Linked DNA regions of Xenopus tropicalis. The protein of the gene in region 2 interacts with the protein of the main gene of each other region in a pairwise test. Links are inferred from orthologs where the notes say so. Each region holds a gene or a part of one and is shown on either strand. Other genes may lie near its edges. The genes, in order: stac3, mab21l3 and aggf1.

Region 1 (6,946 bases), about 140 Mb from region 2:
AAAGACTCTCATTTCAGTATCCACAGTGGTGTGAATGAAGGATCATACTGATGATAGTCCTTTAGTCAGGAGCATTGGGAAGGTTCTTCCTGTGTGGGCTGTTCCGGGGTTCCCAGGCAGATACTCTTAATCTTGTTCCTTCTTCAGATTTCTTGCAGAAAGTCTAGGGGAAATAGCCCTACCTTCCTCCCTGTGGACACTTTGATGTATCCATTGACTTCATCTCCTTTCTGCACCACAATCTGTTATTGAGATAATATATAGTGAATTATAATTACCAGTCTTTTTTTAATAACTAGAGAGGCAAATTACTTTGATATTGAGGAAATAAAACAAACAAAAACAGGTTTTTAATAAAAACCAAAAAGCCATTTTTGCCATTATATAGCACTAAAGGGAAATAGTTGTGTTCCCCCCAACTCCTCCCCTGTAAAGAGGGTAATTTATTTAAAGGTAGATAATAACCTCTGTTTAAACAAACATCAAACTGCAACCTTTGTTTTGCTCTGAGATAGGGCACAGCTCATTATAAAAAGGGCTTATCTGTGTATTATTCATTTTGTTTACGACTACCAAGAAGAAATAAAGTGAGATTTAGCAGCCGCCATGTTGCTGTGTCTCTTAGGGCTCTGACACACGGGGAGATTAGTCCCCTGGGAACCACGCCGCCGCGTGTGCCATCCCACTGGCGACTTACATTGTCGCCGGTGGGATGGCAGGGGGAAGGCAACTCTGGGAGATTAGTCGCCCGCGAACAGGGAGTTTTGTCGCGGGTGACTAATCTCCCCGTGTGTCAGAGCCCTTAACGTGGTGAATATCCGCAACTAGCCTTTAGGGCTGAAACAGGCAGATAAGGAGGTAGAAACAATAGGATTTCTACCTCCTTCTGCCGATTCAGCGCTGAAGGCAGATTTTGGTCAGGCGCCTTCTATGGCGCCTGATCAAAATCTTTTAACCGGTCCGACCAGCGAGTCGACCGATATCAGCAGCTTCCTGCGATATCGGTCGACTCGCCGACTTGCCATACACGCACCGAATATCGTACAAAACGGGGTTTCATACAATATTATCGGTGCATGTATGGCCAGCTTTACAGTCCCATAATTCATGAACAGGAGCATGCACACTGGAAGCCAACCTGGTCCTGGTTTCAGATTACATGCTCCTTGTGGGTAATTGTGATCAGGGAGACAGGAACCAAAAGTTACACAGCCAAACATGGCTGCCACTGCTTCTACATTTGGCCAATAGGTACAAGGGAACAGGTAATTTTTTGGGAGCTGGGTTGATATAGTTTGTTCCCTGAACATCTTCCCTTCCAAACTACAGTATATCTGGTGGTTAAAAAACCTAAACTTTTTAACTAAATGAATAACTTTCGTGTTGAACTATATTAGTCATTAATGCTCATTTGTTGACTTTCATCACTGGATTTAGACAGCATTATTGACTTTTACAGTAAGTTTAATAGATATGCTTTACTTGTATCTTTAATGCCTGGCTCACAGCATATTAATAGGCACCTACCTGGTCTTTCTTCAGAGTGATTTGTCCAATTTCTCTATTTCCTACAAAAGATCGGGTCACCTTATACACTCTTTCTGCAGCTCGGACCCGGATAATAAAGTTAGCTGGGAAGTAGCCTGCCTTCTCACCAACTTTACCCTAAAACAAAGAGAGGCCAAACACGAAGGCAAATAAATAAAACACAATCAATTTTCCTTAATTTATTTATAGATCGTTGTACCAAGATCATTAGAGATCAGTGCTTTTGATTTTCTTGCTTCTCCTAAATGGAAATTGCTCTATGGGCCAGTAAACTTACATCTCACTATTTTCTGTTTAGATGGTCTTGTGTTCATGAATTAACAATTTGTTCTTCTACGGTTGTGTTTTCAATAGATATGCCTACTATACAAGGCCTTGGTAAGGGATGCGTGAACTTTTTGCCCCATAAAAATTTGTGACAAAATTTGTGGTTTTGCAACAATTTTTGGGAATCCACACTAGAATTTGCCATGCATTCTGTTGTGCTGGGAAAAAACACAGCCTAGTGCACCATTAAAAAACCACAGGCATCAGTATTGTCTACTCCTTGCCTTCCACACCATTTTTATAGGTGTCCAGGCACCATCTTTGGAACAAATGGCAACATTGGGCCTTCTATGAAGAATAGTTGTAGAATAGTGAAAATGAGCTTTTCTAACAAGGTAATTTCAGCTTCCCATCGACTCCATTGCATTTTGGGGAAATTTCTCATTTTGCCAATTCGATGGCAAAGCAAAATGCACCCGTTTTGCCCATCAGTAGCCTTGGTATCTCTCTACAAATAATTCTAAAAAAAATATTTCTGTGAACAGGAGAATGCACACCATATTCTGATGTTCTCAGTCAAATTTAATTTTGTAAAAAGGAAAGTTCTGAAATGTGCTCCTGAAATAAATCATTAATATTGTTCCCAGTTTTCAAAACGAGTACAGACTTCATTTAAATCAAGTAGTTTGAATGATGACTGCATATATATTGGTGGCAAAACAATCCTACTTTATTTAAATGATTTTTTTAGTAGACTTGTGGTATGGAGATCCAAATTACAGAAAGACCCCTTATCTGTAAAACCCCAGGTCCCAAGCATTCTGCATAACAAGTCCCATACCTGTAATTCTCTTTATGGATTATTCATTATTTACTCTTTGCTGCTAATTATGAATTTCTTATTTTCTTACACATCCATGCTAGTTTTCCAGTTCCTTTGTTAGTGCTGAAGTAGAGATCATTGGATACTCCTTTTGTTGCCGGAAATTCTGATTTCTACAATTCCGTGAGTATAAATATAGAGTTGCATGAAAGGGTCACACGTCTGATTTTCACTTAATAACCAGCACATGTTTCTATCAATTCCACATTAAGGATTTCTAGCCTCATGACCTCTTTATACTTATAGACCAATAACAGCCTATCTCTGTACTTCAGTTCCACTGTTCAGTGGCTTTATAACATTTGGAATTTGTTCTGCAACTTCCTAATGCAGCTTCTGCTGCCACAACTTTGAAGCCAACTAGAGCACGGCATAACAGGGTCTTTAACGTGTGGCTCTCAGGCTGCTTCTGAATTATAACTTGCAGCAGTAAGAAAGTTAAAATAAGGTGTATAAAAAACAATAGTAATGTTGAAATAAGTTGATAGAGGAAAGGCAACGTAGGCAATCTGTAACAGCTGTGTTCTTTGCTCTTTTTCCCAATATAAGTGCATGTAATCCTGACTGTACTAGTTTGAATGATATTAAAGAAACAGTAACACAAAAAATGAAGAAATGAAAATGGTTTTAAGTAATTAAAATACTCACAAATAAAATACAGTTGCTGTGCACTGGTTTGCTTCAGGGAAACTACTATGGTTTGTATAAATAAGCTGCTGTGTGGGGGCAGCCATTCAAAGGAGAAAAGGCTCAGGTTATGTAGCAGATAACAGATAAGCTCTATAGAATATAATGGTGTTCTACAGAGCCTCTGTTATCCCCTATTTAACCTGTGCCATTTAGTCCTATTGCAATTGCCTCCATTACTACACAGTAGCTTTATTTATATAAGCCAGTGATCCCCACCCAGTGGCTCAGGGGCAACATGTTGCTCACCAACCCCCTTGGATGTTGCTCTCAGTGGCCTCAAAGTAGGTAGCTTTGGTTGCATAAAAACCCGGCATAATGCCAAACAGTCTTCTATAGGCTGCCAGTTCACATAGAGATTACCAAATAGCCAAACATAGCTCTTATTTGGCACCCTAGGAATCCTACTTTTTTATTTGAATTTTCCTCATGCATATAAAAGGTTGGGGAGCCCTGATACAAACTATTACATTGTTTCTGAAGCAAACCCACCAGTTTTACCAGTGCAGGGCCACAGTACATTATATTTGAATTACTTTAAAACACATTCATTTTTTGGCGTTACTGTTCCTTTAAGATGGGATTGTTGGTGATATGCTAATACAGGGGTTATTGCTACACTGTTGGGCATCCTAGGGAAACAAAGAGTACTCTCGTGCAATGCAAAAGCAGACCAGGCTCACTGTGGCTTTAAGTGATGAATCGGTTTTGCTTTGCTGAAAAATTAGCAAAACTGTTTTGATGTGACCGTAACTTTTTCCTTACTCTGTGAATTTTTGCGGCTGTTTCACAAAAAAAATTCACTCATCACTATTTATATTTAAGGCAGAATTGGCCTGGGCTGGAAGTATTTCTATGTGTCACAATGTTTACTTTGCTGAATTTGCCGTTTGTACAAGGACAACTGTATTTTTATTACTTACCCTCCACCATTCTTCATTGGAGTCATCTATTACGGTGATTCTTTCCCCAGCTCTGTGAAAACAATAATGTGCAAGGAAATTCAGGGACAAGACATGGGCTATTCCTTCCTAGGGGATATTATCATGGGATATTCCTTTCTAGGGGATATTATCATGGGATATTCCTTTCTAGGGGATATTATCATGGGATATTCCTTTCTAGGGGATATTATCATGGGATATTCCTTTCTAGGGGATATTATCATGGGATATTCCTTTCTAGGGGATATTATCATGGGCTATTCCTTCCTAGGGGATATTATCATGGGATATTCCTTTCTAGGGGATATTATTATGGGATATTCCTTTCTAGGGGATATTATCATGGGATATTCCTTTCTAGGGGATATTATCATGGGATATTCCTTTCTAGGGGATATTATTATGGGATATTCCTTTCTAGGGGATATTATCATGGGATATTCCTTTCTAGGGGATATTATTATGGGATATTCCTTTCTAGGGGATATTATCATGGGATATTCCTTCCTAGGGGATATTATCATGGGCTATTCATTTCTAGGGGATATTATCATGGCATATTCCTTCCTAGGGGATATTATCATGGGATATTCCTTTCTAGGGGATATTATTATGGGATATTCCTTTCTAGGGGATATTATTATGGGATATTCCTTCCTAGGGGATATTATCATGGGATATTCCTTTCTAGGGGATATTATCATGGGATATTCCTTTCTAGGGGATATTATTATGGGATATTCCTTCCTAGGGGATATTATTATGGGATATTACTTTCACAATCCAAAAACAGAGCATGAAACCTTTACTAAATAGAATGTACACATATTAAATTAGTAATAAACATTTATCAAATTGCCCTTACATCTTGAATTATGAGAGTAAGTATGAGATTTATTATTCAGAATGCTTGGGACCTGCGGTTTAATGGATAAGGGATCTTTCCATAATTTGGACCTCCAAACATTAATTAAACCCATTAGGATTATTTTGCTTCCAATAAGGATTAATTATATTTTAGTTGGGATTAGGTTATAATTTAGGATTATAAGAAAAAGGATTTTATTTTTAAATATGAATTATTTGCTTAAAATGGAGTCTATGGGAGATGGCTAACCAATAATTTGGAACTTTCTAGATAACAGGTTTCTGAATAATGGATCCCATACCTATAGAAGCCTATACTCCCTCCAAACACTTGGGCTAATTTGCTGAAACTGGGTCAATCTGCAAAGTTATCTGAGGTTTGTGCTTCTTTCCTACACAAAGCAACATTAGAACAGTTTTCTGTTTTCCTTCTGAACATATATCTTTACCACCATACAGTCAGAGCAACTGACCAGCAGGTAGCACATTATATTACCAATAAATAGCTTAACAGCTCTAAAACTTAAAAAAAATGATCAAGGTCAATTGGAAAAGTGCTTACAAAGTTCCCTGAGCATCATTTTTACCCTTTGAGGAACTACATAAATAGCAAGGCACTTTCTGTTTATGACTCTCACATGGGGCACAAATTAGAGAATAGCTGTATGAGACTATACTAGCCAGCAAGGCTATACTCACTGAAAATCTAGATCATCCTTCTCCAGGGCTTTGAAGCGATACAAAGCGACAAAATAATGGGACTGCATGAACCCAGGCTGCGCCTTCTTATTCTATAACCACAAATGGAAAGAAGCAGAAAGGTAAAGCTGCGCAAAAAATGAATTCATTTCTGAAAAAGTGTAGGCACAGGGAAAGGCTGAGGCAAGTGTAGGGGTTGCTTCCTTGCCTTCATTTATCTGCAGACCAAGAATCAGTGTGTCAGTAGTTGACGTGGTGCACATTTGCACCCCTTAGTGCTCTAGGCCTTGTGTCCAGGGTCGGAGTAAATGACCCTTAGAATAGTTTATCTTCCACATGTAAAGCACAGTAAAAATGATGTGTTTGTAAGATTTATCAGTCCACATAAATAAATACCATCAATATCTGGATATACCAATAGATAATAACAATGGCGACAGCGTTTATGTTTTTGTTTGTTTTTCATGTTTAGCAAACTAAGGGAACCATTTCTGCCTGCAAGAATTTTACAATATTTTGGTTTTAAAGGAACATGAACTAAAGAGGGAACCTGCTGTCTAAAAAACGTAAATCTTAAATTTTTTCGCAGAGTTATCAGCCACACAATGAAACATTCTCTGATGCTGAGAACAAAATCCAGCAGCTCAAGAAGAAAACAAATCAGCTAAATATTCCTGGCACTATCCGACAGGCAACAGAATAGGATATCTATACACAATGCAATATTTACTGCGTTCTGCACTCCAAGCACTTGGACAATTACAATTAAAATGTACAATACACTTTGAAAAGGTAAGATGGATTAGATGGTTTAGTCCATGTGCGCAAAGTTATATATCTTCTCCTTGTTACTAAATGGCATAAAAATGAATGGGACCACTACTAAGTTATACTTTATACTGCTGTGTGCCAAAGGATGCTCAGATTTACAGGGGAGTACAATTTTGGGGGTTGTCTAGGATCACAGCCACTATATATACTATATGTATGTGACAAAGCAGTTGTTATAAGGGGCTGTCTGTGTGCCTGTCCCACTGACGTAATGACCGAA
Region 2 (7,037 bases):
TGCCGGGGGGGCTGTAAGGTGCCACAGACAGTCACTATTTATTGGGCTGGGGGGGGGCTGTTTGTGCCTCTGGGTACTGGGAATGTCAGGGGGGCTGTAAGGTGCCACAGACAGTCACTATTTATTGGGCTGGGGGGGCTGTTTGTGCCTCTGGGTACTGGGAATGCCAGGGGGGCTGTAAGGTGCCACAGACAGTCACTATTTATTGGGCTGGGGGGGGGCTGTTTGTGCCTCTGGGTACTGGGAATGCCAGGGGGGCTGTAAGGTGCCACAGACAGTCACTATTTATTAGGCTGGGGGGGGGGGCTGTTTGTGCCTCTGGGTACTGGGAATGCCAGGGGGCTGTAAGGTGCCACAGACAGTCACTATTTATTGGGCTGGGGGGGCTGTTTGTGCCTCTGGGTACTGGGAATGCCAGGGGGGCTGTAAGGTGCCACAGACAGTCACTATTTATTGGGCTGGGGGGGGCTGTTTGTGCCTCTGGGTACTGGGAATGCCGGGGGGGCTGTAAGGTGCCACAGACAGTCACTATTTATTGGGCTGGGGGGGGGGCTGTTTGTGCCTCTGGGTACTGGGAATGCCAGGGGGGCTGTAAGGTGCCACAGACAGTCACTATTTATTGGGCTGGGGGGGGGGGGCTGTTTGTGTCTCTGGGTACTGGGAATGCCAGGGGGGCTGTAAGGTGCCACAGACAGTCACTATTTATTGGGCTGGGGGGGCTGTTTGTGCCTCTGGGTACTGGGAATGCCAGGGGGGGCTGTAAGGTGCCACAGACAGTCACTATTTATTGGGCTGGGGGGGCTGTTTGTGCCTCTGGGTACTGGGAATGCCAGGGGGGCTGTAAGGTGCCACAGACAGTCACTATTTATTAGGCTGGTGGGGGGCTGTTTGTGCCTCTGGGTACTGGGAATGCCAGGGGGGCTGTAAGGTGCCACAGACAGTCACTATTTATTGGGCTGGGGGGGCTGTTTGTGCCTCTGGGTACTGGGAATGCCAGGGGGGCTGTAAGGTGCCACAGACAGTCACTATTTATTGGGCTGGGGGGGCTGTTTGTGCCTCTGGGTACTGGGAATGCCAGGGGGGCTGTAAGGTGCCACAGACAGTCACTATTTATTGGGCTGGGGGGGGGCTGTTTGTGCCTCTGGGTACTGGGAATGCCGGGGGGGCTGTAAGGTGCCACAGACAGTCACTATTTATTGGGCTGGGGGGGGCTGTTTGTGCCTCTGGGTACTGGGAATGCCGGGGGGGCTGTAAGGTGCCACAGACAGTCACTATTTATTGGGCTGGGGGGGCTGTTTGTGCCTCTGGGTACTGGGAATGCCAGGGGGGCTGTAAGGTGCCACAGACAGTCACTATTTATTGGGCTGGGGGGGGGGGCTGTTTGTGCCTCTGGGTACTGGGAATGCCAGGGGGGCTGTAAGGTGCCACAGACAGTCACTATTTATTGGGCTGGGGGGGGGGCTGTTTGTGCCTCTGGGTACTGGGAATGCCAGGGGTGCTGTAAGGTGACACAGACAGTCACTATTTATTGGGCTGGGGGGGGGCTGTTTGTGCCTCTGGGTACTGGGAATGCCAGGGGGGCTGTAAGGTGCCACAGACAGTCACTATTTATTGGGCTGGGGGGGCTGTTTGTGCCTCTGGGTACTGGGAATGCCAGGGGGGCTGTAAGGTGCCACAGACAGTCACTATTTATTGGGCTGGGGGGGGGGGGCTGTTTGTGCCTCTGGGTACTGGGAATGCCAGGGGGGCTGTAAGGTGCCACAGACAGTCACTATTTATTGGGCTGGGGGGGCTGTTTGTGCCTCTGGGTACTGGGAATGCCAGGGGGGCTGTAAGGTGCCACAGACAGTCACTATTTATTGGGCTGGGGGGGCTGTTTGTGTCTCTGGGTACTGGGAATGCCAGGGGGGCTGTAAGGTGCCACAGGCTCGGTACTCGGGGTACAGACCTGTAGGTGGTGGGAGCTGATAACGGGGTGACTCCCCGGGCACCAAACATCCTCCTTCATCTGCCGAACGGCCCGATAGCACTTCATGCGACACCCCCCGTCCTCATCCATTGTCTCCAGCAGGAGGCGCTCTCCTCTCAGGAAAGACAGCTGCCAGTGGTAATTCGACCGGGCCAGGAGGTCAAAGCCAAATGACTATTGGGGGGCAGAGAGAATTGGGGAAATGGGGGAAAATGCACAGATGTAACAATTACCCAAGTACCCGGCCATCCTGACCCCTGTTCCACATACACAGGTCCAAGGTGCACCCCCAAACAGCAGCCAACTGTCTGACCTACAGGGGTCTAACTGCACCCCAAACTGTACCAGTAGCCATACACCCCAACTATCTGGCCTACAAGGGTCTAACTGCACCCCAAACTGTAACAGTAGCCATACACCCCAACTGTCTGGCCTATAAGGGTCTAACTGCACCCCAAACTGTACCAGTAGCCATACACCCCAACTGTCTGGCCTATAAGGGTCTAACTGCACCCCAAACTGTACCAGTAGCCATACACCCCAACTGTCTGACCTACAGGGGTCTAACTGCACCCCAAACTGTACCAGTAGCCATACACCCCAACTGTCTGGCCTACAAGGGTCTAACTGCACCCCAAACTGTACCAGTAGCCATACACCCCAACTGTCTGGCCTACAAGGGTCTAACTGCACCCCAAACTGTAACAGTAGCCATACACCCCAACTGTCTGACCTACAAGGGTCTAATTGCACCCCAAACTGTAACAGTAGCCATACACCCCAACTGTCTGGCCTACAAGGGTCTAATTGCACCCCAAACTGTACCAGTAGCCATACACCCCAACTGTCTGACCTACAAGGGTCTAACTGCACCCCAAACTGTACCAGTAGCCATACACCCCAACTGTCTGACCTACAAGGGTCTAATTGCACCCCAAACTGTACCAGTAGCCATACACCCCAACTGTCTGACCTACAAGGGTCTAACTGCACCCCAAACTGTACCAGTAGCCATACACCCCAACTGTCTGACCTACAAGGGTCTAACTGCACCCCAAACTGTACCAGTAGCCATACACCCCAACTGTCTGGCCTACAAGGGTCTAACTGCACCCCAAACTGTAACAGTAGCCATACACCCCAACTGTCTGACCTACAAGGGTCTAATTGCACCCCAAACTGTACCAGTAGCCATACACCCCAACTGTCTGACCTACAGGGGTCTAATTGTACCCCAAACTGTACCAGTAGCTATACACCCCAACTGTCTGACCTACAAGGGTCTAATTGCACCCCAAACTGTACCAGTGGCCATACACCCCAACTGTCTGACCTACAAGGGTCTAATTGCACCCCAAACATTAGCCATACACCCCAACTGTCTGACCTACAGGGGTCTAATTGCACCCCAACATGAGCCATACACCCCAGTTGCTCAATACCCTAAATGCTGCAGTCCATGGTTTGGGGGTGACTTATCTTCTCCGAGCCACAAACTTGTTCCCATTCTATCTCCCCCCATAGGGGAACCCCCCAATGTTAGGCCCCCACCACCCCAGCCAGAGGGTATTTATAGTCCCGACCCCCACATTTTGGTTTGTTGGTACCTTGACACACTGTATTCTCTCCCTTGGGGGCCAACGTTTAAAGAACCGGGGCCACTGGGCTTTTCTGGGCCAGAACCCCGGAACCTCAAGCACAGGAACCAGCTCCACCTCCACCATCTGCTCGGAGGTCTCCACGTTCAGCCTGATGGAGGGCCCAAAGGACTCCAGTACATTCACCTTGTCTGGGGGCAGAGAGAGGTCCAACCCTGAGTGACTCACACTCACACTCACACTCACCTACATGTGGGCAATGTGGCAGGTAGGACTTTAACCCTTACCAGTCAGGCTGCAGAAGGTGATGGCCCTATAGAGGTGTTCCAAGAGGACATGTATGACCCGGGCGGGGACGAGGTCCCCCTTGATGTTGACGTCGTTGTCGTGCCAATGGGGGGCGCTCTTCTGGAACTGCTCTATCTCCAGCCACTGGTGCAGCTTCTCGGGTTCCATCGCCGGTGCCACGAGTTGGGTCCCACTTGGGGAGTAGTAACGCCACCGCCGGCTCCTCTTCTGCCCGAAGCCACTGAGACCCCGAAGGGGAACAGTCACCAAGAACTGGGAGGGGCTCAGAACCTGTAATATGGAGTCGGGGCAAGATCAGACCCAGAATGGTACTGGGAACAGAGTAAGTATCCCCTAGTCCCACCTACATTTATAATGGGATTGCCCCCCGGGTAAGTGATCCAATCTCCCCCCAGTACTTACCCAGGTACAGAGCTCTGATTCTCTGTACTTCCTGCTCCTGGGCTGCTCTCTTTCCCATGGTCAGGCAGGAACCCCCCCCCCCGGGTAAGTGAATCCAATCTCCCCCCAGTACTTACCCAGGTACAGAGCTCTGATTCTCTGTACTTCCTGCTCCTGGGCTGCTCTCTTTCCCATGGTCAGGCAGGAACCTCCCCCTGGGTAAGTGAATCCAATCTCCCCCCAGTACTTACCCAGGTACAGAGCTCTGATTCTCTGTACTTCCTGCTCCTGGGCTGCTCTCTTTCCCATGGTCAGGCAGGAACCTCCCCCTGGGTAAGTGAATCCAATCTCCCCCCAGTACTTACCCAGGTACAGAGCTCTGATTCTCTGTATTTCCTGCTCCTGGGCTGCTCTCTTTCCCATGGTCAGGCAGGAACCCCCCTGGGTAAGTGAATCCAATCTCCCCCCAGTACTTACCCAGGTACAGAGCTCTGATTCTCTGTACTTCCTGCTCCTGGGCTGCTCTCTTTCCCATGGTCAGGCAGGAACCCCCCCCTGGGTAAGTGAATCCAATCTCCCCCCAGTACTTACCCAGGTACAGAGCTCTGATTCTCTGTAATTCCTGCTCCTGGGCTACTCTCTTTCCCATGGTCAGGCAGGAACCCCCCCCCCCCCCGGGTAAGTGAATCCAATCTCCCCCCAGTACTTACCCAGGTACAGAGCTCTGATTCTCTGTACTTCCTGCTCCTGGGCTGCTCTCTTTCCCATGGTCAGGCAGGAACCTCCCCCTGGGTAAGTGAATCCAATCTCCCCCCAGTACTTACCCAGGTACAGAGCTCTGATTCTCTGTACTTCCTGCTCCTGGGCTGCTCTCTTTCCCATGGTCAGGCAGGAACCTCCCCCTGGGTAAGTGAATCCAATCTCCCCCCAGTACTTACCCAGGTACAGAGCTCTGATTCTCTGTACTTCCTGCTCCTGGGCTGCTCTCTTTCCCATGGTCAGGCAGGAACCCCTCCCTGGGTAAGTGAATCCAATCTCCCCCCAGTACTTACCCAGATACAGAGCTCTGATTCTCTGTACTTCCTGCTCCTGGGCTGCTCTCTTTCCCATGGTAAGACAGGAACCCCCCGGGTAAGTGAATCCAATCTCCCCCCAGTACTTACCCAGGTACAGAGCTCTGATTCTCTGTACTTCCTGCTCCTGGGCTGCTCTCTTTCCCATGGTCAGGCAGGAACCCCCCCCTGGGTAAGTGAATCCAATCTCCCCCCAGTACTTACCCAGGTACAGAGCTCTGATTCTCTGTACTTCCTGCTCCTGGGCTGCTCTCTTTCCCATGGTCAGGCAGGAACCCCCCCCTGGGTAAGTGAATCCAATCTCCCCCCAGTACTTACCCAGGTACAGAGCTCTGATTCTCTGTACTTCCTGCTCCTGGGCTGCTCTCTTTCCCATGGTAAGACAGGACCCCCCCCCGGGTAAGTGAATCCAATCTCCCCCCAGTACTTACCCAGGTACAGAGCTCTGATTCTCTGTATTTCCTGCTCCTGGGCTGCTCTCTTTCCCATGGTCAGACAGGAACCTCCCCCTGGGTAAGTGAATCCAATCTCCCCCCAGTACTTACCCAGGTACAGAGCTCTGATTCTCTGTATTTCCTGCTCCTGGGCTGCTCTCTTTCCTATGGTCAGGAAGGAACCCCCCCCCCCCGGGTAAGTGAATCCAATCACCCCCCAGTACTTACCCAGGTACAGAGCTCTGATTCTCTGTACTTCCTGCTCCTGGGCTGCTCTCTTTCCCATGGTCAGACAGGAACCCCCTCCCCTGGGTAAGTGAATCCAATCTCCCCCCAGTACTTACCCAGGTACAGAGCTCTGATTCTCTGTACTTCCTGCTCCTGGGTTGCTCTCTTTGCCATGGTCAGGCAGGAACCTCCCCCTGGGTAAGTGAATCCAATCCCCCCCCCCCAGTACTTACCCAGGTACAGATCTCTGATTCTCTGTACTTCCTGCTCCTGGGCTGCTCTCTTTCCCATGGTCAGGCAGGAACCCCCCCCCCGGGTAAGTGAATCCAATCTCCCCCCAGTACTTACCCAGGTACAGAGTTCTGATTCTCTGTACTTCCTGCTCCTGGGCTGCTCTCTTTCCCATGGTCAGACAGGAACCTCCCCCTGGGTAAGTGAATCCAATCTCCCCCCAGTACTTACCCAGGTACAGAGCTCTGATTCTCTGTACTTCCTGCTCCTGGGCTGCTCTCTTTCCCATGGTCAGACAGGAACCCCCCCTGGGTAAGTGAATCCAATCTCCCCCCAGTACTTACCCAGGTACAGAGCTCTGATTCTCTGTACTTCCTGCTCCTGGGCTGCTCTCTTTCCCATGGTCAGGCAGGAACCTCCCCCTGGGTAAGTGAATCCAATCTCCCCCAGTACTTACCCAGGTACAGAGCTCTGATTCTCTGTACTTCCTGCTCCTGGGCTGCTCTCTTTCCCATGGTCAGGCAGGAACCTCCCCCTGGGTAAGTGAATCCAATCCCCCCCCCCAGTACTTACCCAGGTACAGAGCTCTGATTCTCTGTACTTCCTGCTCCTGGGCTGCTCTCTTTCCCATGGTCAGGCAGGAACCTCCCCCTGGGTAAGTGAATCCAATCTCCCCCCAGTACTTACCCAGGTACAGAGCTCTGATTCTCTGTACTTCCTGCTCCTGGGCTGCTCTCTTTCCCATGGTCAGGCAGGAACCTCCCCCTGGGTAAGTGAATCCAATCTCCCCCAGTACTTACCCAGGTACAGAGCT
Region 3 (7,037 bases), on a different chromosome or scaffold from region 2:
GACAGAAGTTTTTTTCTGCATACGCACTAAGGGGTGCACTCTTGTACTACTGTCCAGGGACTTTGTCAAAGACACATGTACTCTGTACCTACACATGTAAGCTCTTATGGTTAAGTGGTTAATATTCTTTGAAAAAATACTTTGTATAGCTTTGCATGTAGTTGGTTCTATAAGAATAAGGGTTTCGTTTTACCATATGTCACCATAATGATTTTTCTTGGTTCTTGCAGGTAGAGCAACTAAGTAGAGAACTTCATGAAAGAAAGAGAGCAGAACAGACAGCCCAGGAAGTACAGACAGATGGCTATTATGGTTGGGCACAATCTGGTCAGTATCAGTTTTTTTTTTTGTTTTTTTTTTAACAAGGAACTTGTGCACATTTAAAAGCAAAATATGCTATTTTGATATGCATATATTGTGGGGAAAATGTCCCAACAGAGACAGCTCCCCTTATTTAGCAAGAGTATATAAAATTTAGCAAATATGCACATTGAAATTAAGCATCCAACTGCCAAGACTTGCAAAAGAGTGGTTATTTGCTATATATCATTTTAAAATAGAAATTTAAAAGTAAGCTTTCACTTTTTTTTTTTAAAATTAGTATTAGGGCTTAGGTCTAGATTATAATTGGAATAAATACAATGAGGGGTGGTCACTTACACATAGAATTCAGTCTGCATCAGTTTTAAAGATTACGCCAAACTAAATAATCTATATAATAATCTAAATAGTACACAAAGGTGGTATGTTTTTGCAGTTAGGTGGGTATTTTTTGCAGATGAGAATTACATTTCGACACAAGCCTTTGTCAAGGGGTATTCTCATTGACTAAGGCCAGTGCCAAAACATTGGGGTCATTTTCATTTGCCCAAAAATATCTGCTTTGCTTGGTGGTATGTATTGTATACATGGGTGTGTCTGCATTTAAAATTTTGCAAATTACTGTACAGGTATGGGATTTCTTATCTGGAAACCTGTTATCCAGAAATCTCTGAATTACGGAAAGCCCGTCTCCCATAGACTCCATTTTACTCAAATAATTCAGAATTTTAAAACTGATTTCCTCATTCTCTGTAGTAATAAAACAGTACCTTGTAATTGATTCCAACTAAGATATAATTAATCCTTACTGGATGCAAAACAATCCTATTTGGTTTAATTAATGTTTTATTAATTCTTTAGTAGACTTAAGTTATGGAGATCCAAATTGCGGAAAGACCCCTTATCCGGAATACCCTTGGTCCCGAGCATTTTGGATAACGGGTCCTATACCTGTATATGCCAAATTGTTGTATTCTAATGAACTTTTAAAGGGGTTGTTCACCTTAGAGTTAACTTTTAGTATGATGTAGAGAGTACTATTTTGAGACAGTTTGCAGTTGGTCTTCATTTTGTTATTTGTAGATTTTAAATTATTTCAGTTTTTGTTCAGCAGTTCTCCAGTTTGGGCTTTCAGAAGCTGTCTGGTGGCTATGGTCCAAATTAACAACCAGGTAGTGGTTTAAATTAGAGATTGGTATATAAATAGGGGAGGACCAATACAGAAAAAGTAATAAGTAACAATCACAATAAAACCCTAGCCTTACTGAGCAATAGTTTTTGAGTGCAGTGATCGAATTGGATAACCACATTTAGCCTGCAATTAATGTTTTGTAAAGAGATCTTAAATGTTAATTACATTTTTTTCTAGATTATTGTTCCAGTGGAAATGATTACAGTGGATTTGCACCAGGTATGTCAGAACAGGTCAGTGTGACAGAAGACAGCAATTCTTCACAAGTTGTAGCAGAAGCAGTGCTGAATAAAGCAGGAGCAAGCAGCGGTCAGTTTGTGGAAGAGGTGCAAGAAGATACTGTATACGCGCAGCAAGCTGAGGTAATGCAGCCTGTTGGGATACATAGAACTACTGCAGTCTGAAGAGTATAGAGGTCTTTGTTGGGGTACTGACTAAGCAGTTGTAATACATTAATCAGCTAGATATTCTTTTGTGTAATATGGTTAATGAGGGGGCCTTAAAAAGACTTTACAGCCGAGTGAATAAAACAGATCTGTTTGTTGTTGTATTTAAATACTCGTTCTATTTCTTCTATAAGGAAGAGCAGGGATGCTCACTGGCTGACAGTCTGAGGGCGACCGCAGAAGCTGCTGTGACGCAGACTGGATTTGTATATGATGAAAACACGGGGATGTATTATGATCACAGTACTGGATTTTATTATGATTCGGTACGTTGATTTGGAGCAACTATAAAATGCCTATTATTTTTAAAAAATTTGCTTAGGCTGTTTACATTTTGTAACTGGAGTTATTGTGTATCATATCAAGGAGTCCCAGCTATATTATGATGGTACCACTGGTATATATTATTACTGTGATGTGGATAGTGGCCGATACCTATATCATTCCCGAGTGGATCTTCAGTCATTCACTGACACAAACCCTCAGCCAACAAAAGATAAAAGGAGCAAGAAGAAGAGGCGAGATCCGGCCAGCATGGAAAAGGAGGAGGAGAAGGAGAAGGTCTGTATTACAACTTTATACTTTTGGAGGGTTAAAACTCCTCCAAACAAGTTAAAAAAAAAAAAAAGTGCAGTACGAAATGCCCTCATAATGGGCTTCCTCTTGAAGACACTTTTAGGGTGTTATATAATAAATAACCTATAGCAACCAATCAGCAGGAAGCATTAACTGCAGCAGTCATCTTATTGGTTTTATTGGATGCAGATCCTGGGCAAACTTAGTACATTTTATTACATTTGGGGGTTTTGCCTAGGCAGGTTCTGTGACCTAGGTGGTAAATTTAGTATATAAGCAGCTTCTCCAATGGAACTTGCTCTACCAAGCTCACAGCTGAATGGAAGGAGCTACATCTCCCCTTCTCAGCAGAGCTTTATAAGGCAATATGTCAGAGAGATTTGGGTCTTGTATGTTGACAGACATCAACATCATTTAGGAAAATTAAAATATCTTTATGGCTAAAATGTGGCCAAATTATAGCTTAGTTGAATAAACTATACTGCACACTCTGCTCTTTGCATCAAAACATTTTATTTAAAATTTAATTTAATTTGCTTGCATAAATTTACCTTACTCAGACATAAAACGAAAACTGTAAGTGACCCACTCCTTAAAACCCAAGTTGGCTGTCCAATTCTGGTTCTTTTTTTTTACTTAGAATATTTTATAAAGGTTTGTATACAAACGCCACTGTTTTGACTCCTTATTGCTTCATCCCCAGGCAGTTCTTCCACCATTGCTCTCTCTACTGGAATGTGAAAAACTATAAGATTAGCACCAAAATAATACAATGAGACAAGCGCACATTATGTTTTTTTTTTTTTAATCAATTTGTTAGTCGGCTTTTTGTTTTATTATTAGATACATTGGTCGGCTTAAAATGGACTTGTTAGTTAGCTTTTTCTTGTCAGTTCATCAAGGTTGTTAGGGTATACTAGTCTAGCTATATAGGTCTGTCTTCTGATTTCTGCATCTTGCAGTTAATATATTAATTGAGATTTCCCTTTAAACGTGTACATGCATTTTGGGTTTTGTCAGTAACAGGTTTATATACTAAAATGAAGAGCAGGTTGTGCAGCAACAGAAAACTGCGTCTGGCACAATGCCCTTGAATAGCTTTTTGTTCATTTTTTTCTTGGTTGAGCAAACTGCACGGTAAATGTGTCCAGACAACTGGAATAGGGAACCAACTGTATAAGGACATTGTGTTCCTATTTGCTAAAGGTGGAAGAACATTAGATGTCTAATCTACTTTTTTTGCTAAACAAGCTACAGGTTTTGGACTTTAGTGCTTGCATTCGTGCATTCATTTTTCTTCATCGCCAGCTTGACTAATAATCTTGTCTTTAGGTACACAATTTGGCTGACACCATGGCTAGCTTGAAGATTTCCACTTTGGGATACACACCATATAACAAAGGTAGAGTTGAGATGAAAGTGCCAATTTAGTTAGAAACATCATTCATTAATTTGGCAGATGTAAACACAAGACTACCGATTAGCACCTCTGTACATTTTACCACGCAGCCAGCTGATAATATTGCACGTACCATGGGGCTTATTGTGAGGCTCTACATTGTGCTTTTCTCCCCTATACTAACCTGCTACTTTGAGCTTTACTTATTCATGCCTTTGTTAGCATGACCTTTGCAGACAAACCTTGTGTAAGATTATGTTTCTTCTTCTTGACTTTTCTTTTTCATGTTCCTTGGTGCTAAATCGCTAATACTATAAATTTAATCAGTTGTTACCACAGATGGGAAGTCTCCAGCAAAAGTAACTATGCAACCATCATGCTTGTTCCATATACTAATTGTCTCAAAATAGCATTTGAACTGTGCAGTTACATATTTGGATTGAGAACTTTGGACAGGTCTCTGCTTGAACAAGTACTGTACAGCCTAATTTTAGTGTTTTGGTATGCTTTATGGATCTGATTGAATTAAGGCGAATTCAAGATAAATATTCTAGGGAGCTATACAAGCATGAAAAATGTTCCTTGGCTGTTTGGTATGGCCATGTGGGCTGCCAGCCTGCGGTGAAGCACTGTTTGGAGGTGTCCTTGTGTCTTTATGCCTCTATAATTTGCCCCCAGTGCTAGGAATTTAAACAGGAGCACCTCATTTGAGGCCACTGGGTACAACATCAAAGGAGTAGAGAGCATGTTCCATATGAGCCACTGGTTGGGGATGTTAGACAGCTCTAAGTTGCAGGCAGTACAACGCAATACCTCTGATACAAAGAAGCATGATAAAGTTGTGTCATCTTCAAGTTTCCTCACAAAGTTGCACGTCTTTGTTCTTTTTTGTGCTAGAAATATTTTCAGTAATGGGTATGTTATTCATTTGTAATCCAGGCCTTTATTTATATTGGCATGGCAGTTCTTGGGGAAAGTGTTTGTTCTGTGGTTATTTTTAACAAACATTCCATAATGATCCAAGGATCATTTTTGTCTTTGTTTTTTGTCTTTGGGCTTTGTTTTAATTCAGTCTTGATAAAAATTGACCCCTTTTTGTAACCTTAAAACCAGATCTTCCCTGGACTCCAAATTTTGATATTATAGACCCTAAAGATGCTCAGTATTCAGAAATGGAGAAGTGGTGTTTGTACAGGAACCTTCATAAGATATTCCTAAAGTCTAAAACTACAGCAGCCAGGCGCCTGATATTTGTCGTGTTCTACTATAGTTTACGTTACTGTATTGTTCTGTTGCTTAGCATATTTCTACATGTATCCATCATGAGACTTCAACAGCAGCTGCAAAACCATTTTAGGGTTTATATAGTAACGTGGATGTGTTACTGATTGTAAAACCACCTCTTATTGTTTGGGCCACCTATGCCATTAATGTTATATATGATCCATTTTTTCCCATCTATAGGATCATCAACCAATGACTTGGCAGCATTTCTGTAGTAATTTCACTGATCAGCTGTTCTTGTTTCTTAAAAATAGCAATAATCTAACTGTCAAAGGACCGATTTGGCAATATATGCCAAAGATGGAATGAACATAATGAAGTTATGTAATAAATGGCACTAAGTTTGTAACCCATAGCAAACAATCACAGGTACCATTTACTGGTCACCTGTTTAAAAGCAAACATCTTATTAGTTGCAATGGGTTACAGCACCTGGGTAAACTTAGTGCTTTTTATTGCACATGGGGGCATATGTTATGGCAGCCAGTCAGACTTTTAATTAGACCAGGCAAAACCACTGGCAGGGCAAAGCATGTCATTTTACTATATAACCCCCTTGGTTTCCACTTGCATATGATGTTTTTTTTAAATCATGTTCTGGGGAACCTCAAAGTTCTTGCAGTATCAGTTGATTTCTCAAGATGCTACTGTGTTGTCACATTTTCTTTAAGGATACAGAGAAAATGGAACATGAGCCAGTAAGCCCCCCTGAAAGGGAAGAATTGGCTGCTGAGAGAAAGAAAGCTAGGATGGGCAGTTTAGTAGAATCTTATGAAAGAGAGAGCTCATCCTCAGATGAGAGTGAACCAGAGGAGGGAGAAATCACTGACTCTGACAATGAGAAGACTTCCAGTGATGATGACAGGTCAAGTGGACTAAGCGTCACTTCCCACACCTCAGAGCCTGAAGGTGACCTCATTTTGCTGAATGTATGCATTTGCAGGCAGAAATATGATTCTTTGCAACATGGTTGGAAAAATGGATTCAGCTGGTAACTATATTTCTAAGATATTTATTGAACTTCTTTAAATAATAATAAAATAATGAATCGGTCTGTTAGAAATTATTTTCATATTATTTTGTGGTTTAATAAGTATTTTATATTTACCCCTAAATCCATTTTCAATGTCCGTTGTTTATAGTGTAACGTTGAACTCTTTACATTGTTTCTTTACACTGGAATTTATACCCAAGTTCTATTTGCAACAGCACAATATAAAATTGAAACTGTTCCTCTTTTACAGCTCAGCGGTGCCAATATTAGATATATTATTAGATAACCGCCAGTGAATATTTCTTATTTTCTTTTCTGGGGCAGTACTACTTTTAGAAAAAAAAATGCAAAGGGCCCTTGGTTAAAAAGCAGTGCAGCGCACACAAGCTTACATTCTTTTCCTAGACTTCCCTGGCACAGACTAAAATTAGATTAAAATGTGTACATTTTGGAACGGCTGGAAAAAGGTGTGTTAGGTGGCAGCACTTTACTACTCTTTTCCCTCCATGTGGTTGCTTTTTGTTTTTCACAATATCCAAATACCTAAATTGATGGCATTTTTGAAGTCCTTTTTATTTAGAAATGCTTTACTGTTTTCCCACATTTCACCTCTTAGTTTTTTTTTGTTTTTTAAGGATTTTCTAGTGACTGCTTGCTTGTATGTATACAGCGAAACCACAAATAAAGAACACCTGAAAATTCAATCTCTCACTTTGTATTTTCATGCAAAAAAAAAAAAAAATCAAATGTGGCACCGCCTCACTCTGCCACGATGAATATATTCTAATTCGCCTTGTTAGTCCAACTGAAATTGGTTATTAGTCT

What was found.
Region 1: the proteins of mab21l3 (region 2) and stac3 interact in binary tests that used the Homo sapiens proteins (3 or more experiments, as listed by UniProt). The two-hybrid records come from large-scale screens. The link is inferred for Xenopus tropicalis from reciprocal best matches to the Homo sapiens genes MAB21L3 and STAC3.
Region 3: the proteins of mab21l3 (region 2) and aggf1 interact in binary tests that used the Homo sapiens proteins (3 or more experiments, as listed by UniProt). The two-hybrid records come from large-scale screens. The link is inferred for Xenopus tropicalis from reciprocal best matches to the Homo sapiens genes MAB21L3 and AGGF1.

The regions. Positions count from the first base shown.
Region 1 is NC_030678.2:140,043,946-140,050,891, forward strand, and holds part of stac3 (SH3 and cysteine-rich domain-containing protein 3), read right to left. Parts: intron 5,988-6,946; coding exon 5,896-5,987; intron 4,361-5,895; coding exon 4,309-4,360; intron 1,666-4,308; coding exon 1,528-1,665; intron 243-1,527; coding exon 144-242; 3' UTR 1-143. UniProt on the Homo sapiens protein: Required for normal excitation-contraction coupling in skeletal muscle and for normal muscle contraction in response to membrane depolarization. Required for normal Ca(2+) release from the sarcplasmic reticulum, which ultimately leads to muscle contraction.
Region 2 is NC_030678.2:1,107,420-1,114,456, forward strand, and holds part of mab21l3 (protein mab-21-like 3), read right to left. Parts: intron 4,147-7,037; coding exon 3,855-4,146; intron 3,759-3,854; coding exon 3,577-3,758; intron 2,144-3,576; coding exon 1,949-2,143; intron 1-1,948.
Region 3 is NC_030677.2:185,017,795-185,024,831, reverse strand, and holds part of aggf1 (angiogenic factor with G patch and FHA domains 1), read left to right. Parts: intron 1-230; coding exon 231-327; intron 328-1,690; coding exon 1,691-1,875; intron 1,876-2,093; coding exon 2,094-2,225; intron 2,226-2,325; coding exon 2,326-2,520; intron 2,521-3,867; coding exon of another isoform or gene 3,868-3,937; intron 3,938-5,889; coding exon 5,890-6,127; intron 6,128-7,037. UniProt on the Homo sapiens protein: Promotes angiogenesis and the proliferation of endothelial cells. Able to bind to endothelial cells and promote cell proliferation, suggesting that it may act in an autocrine fashion.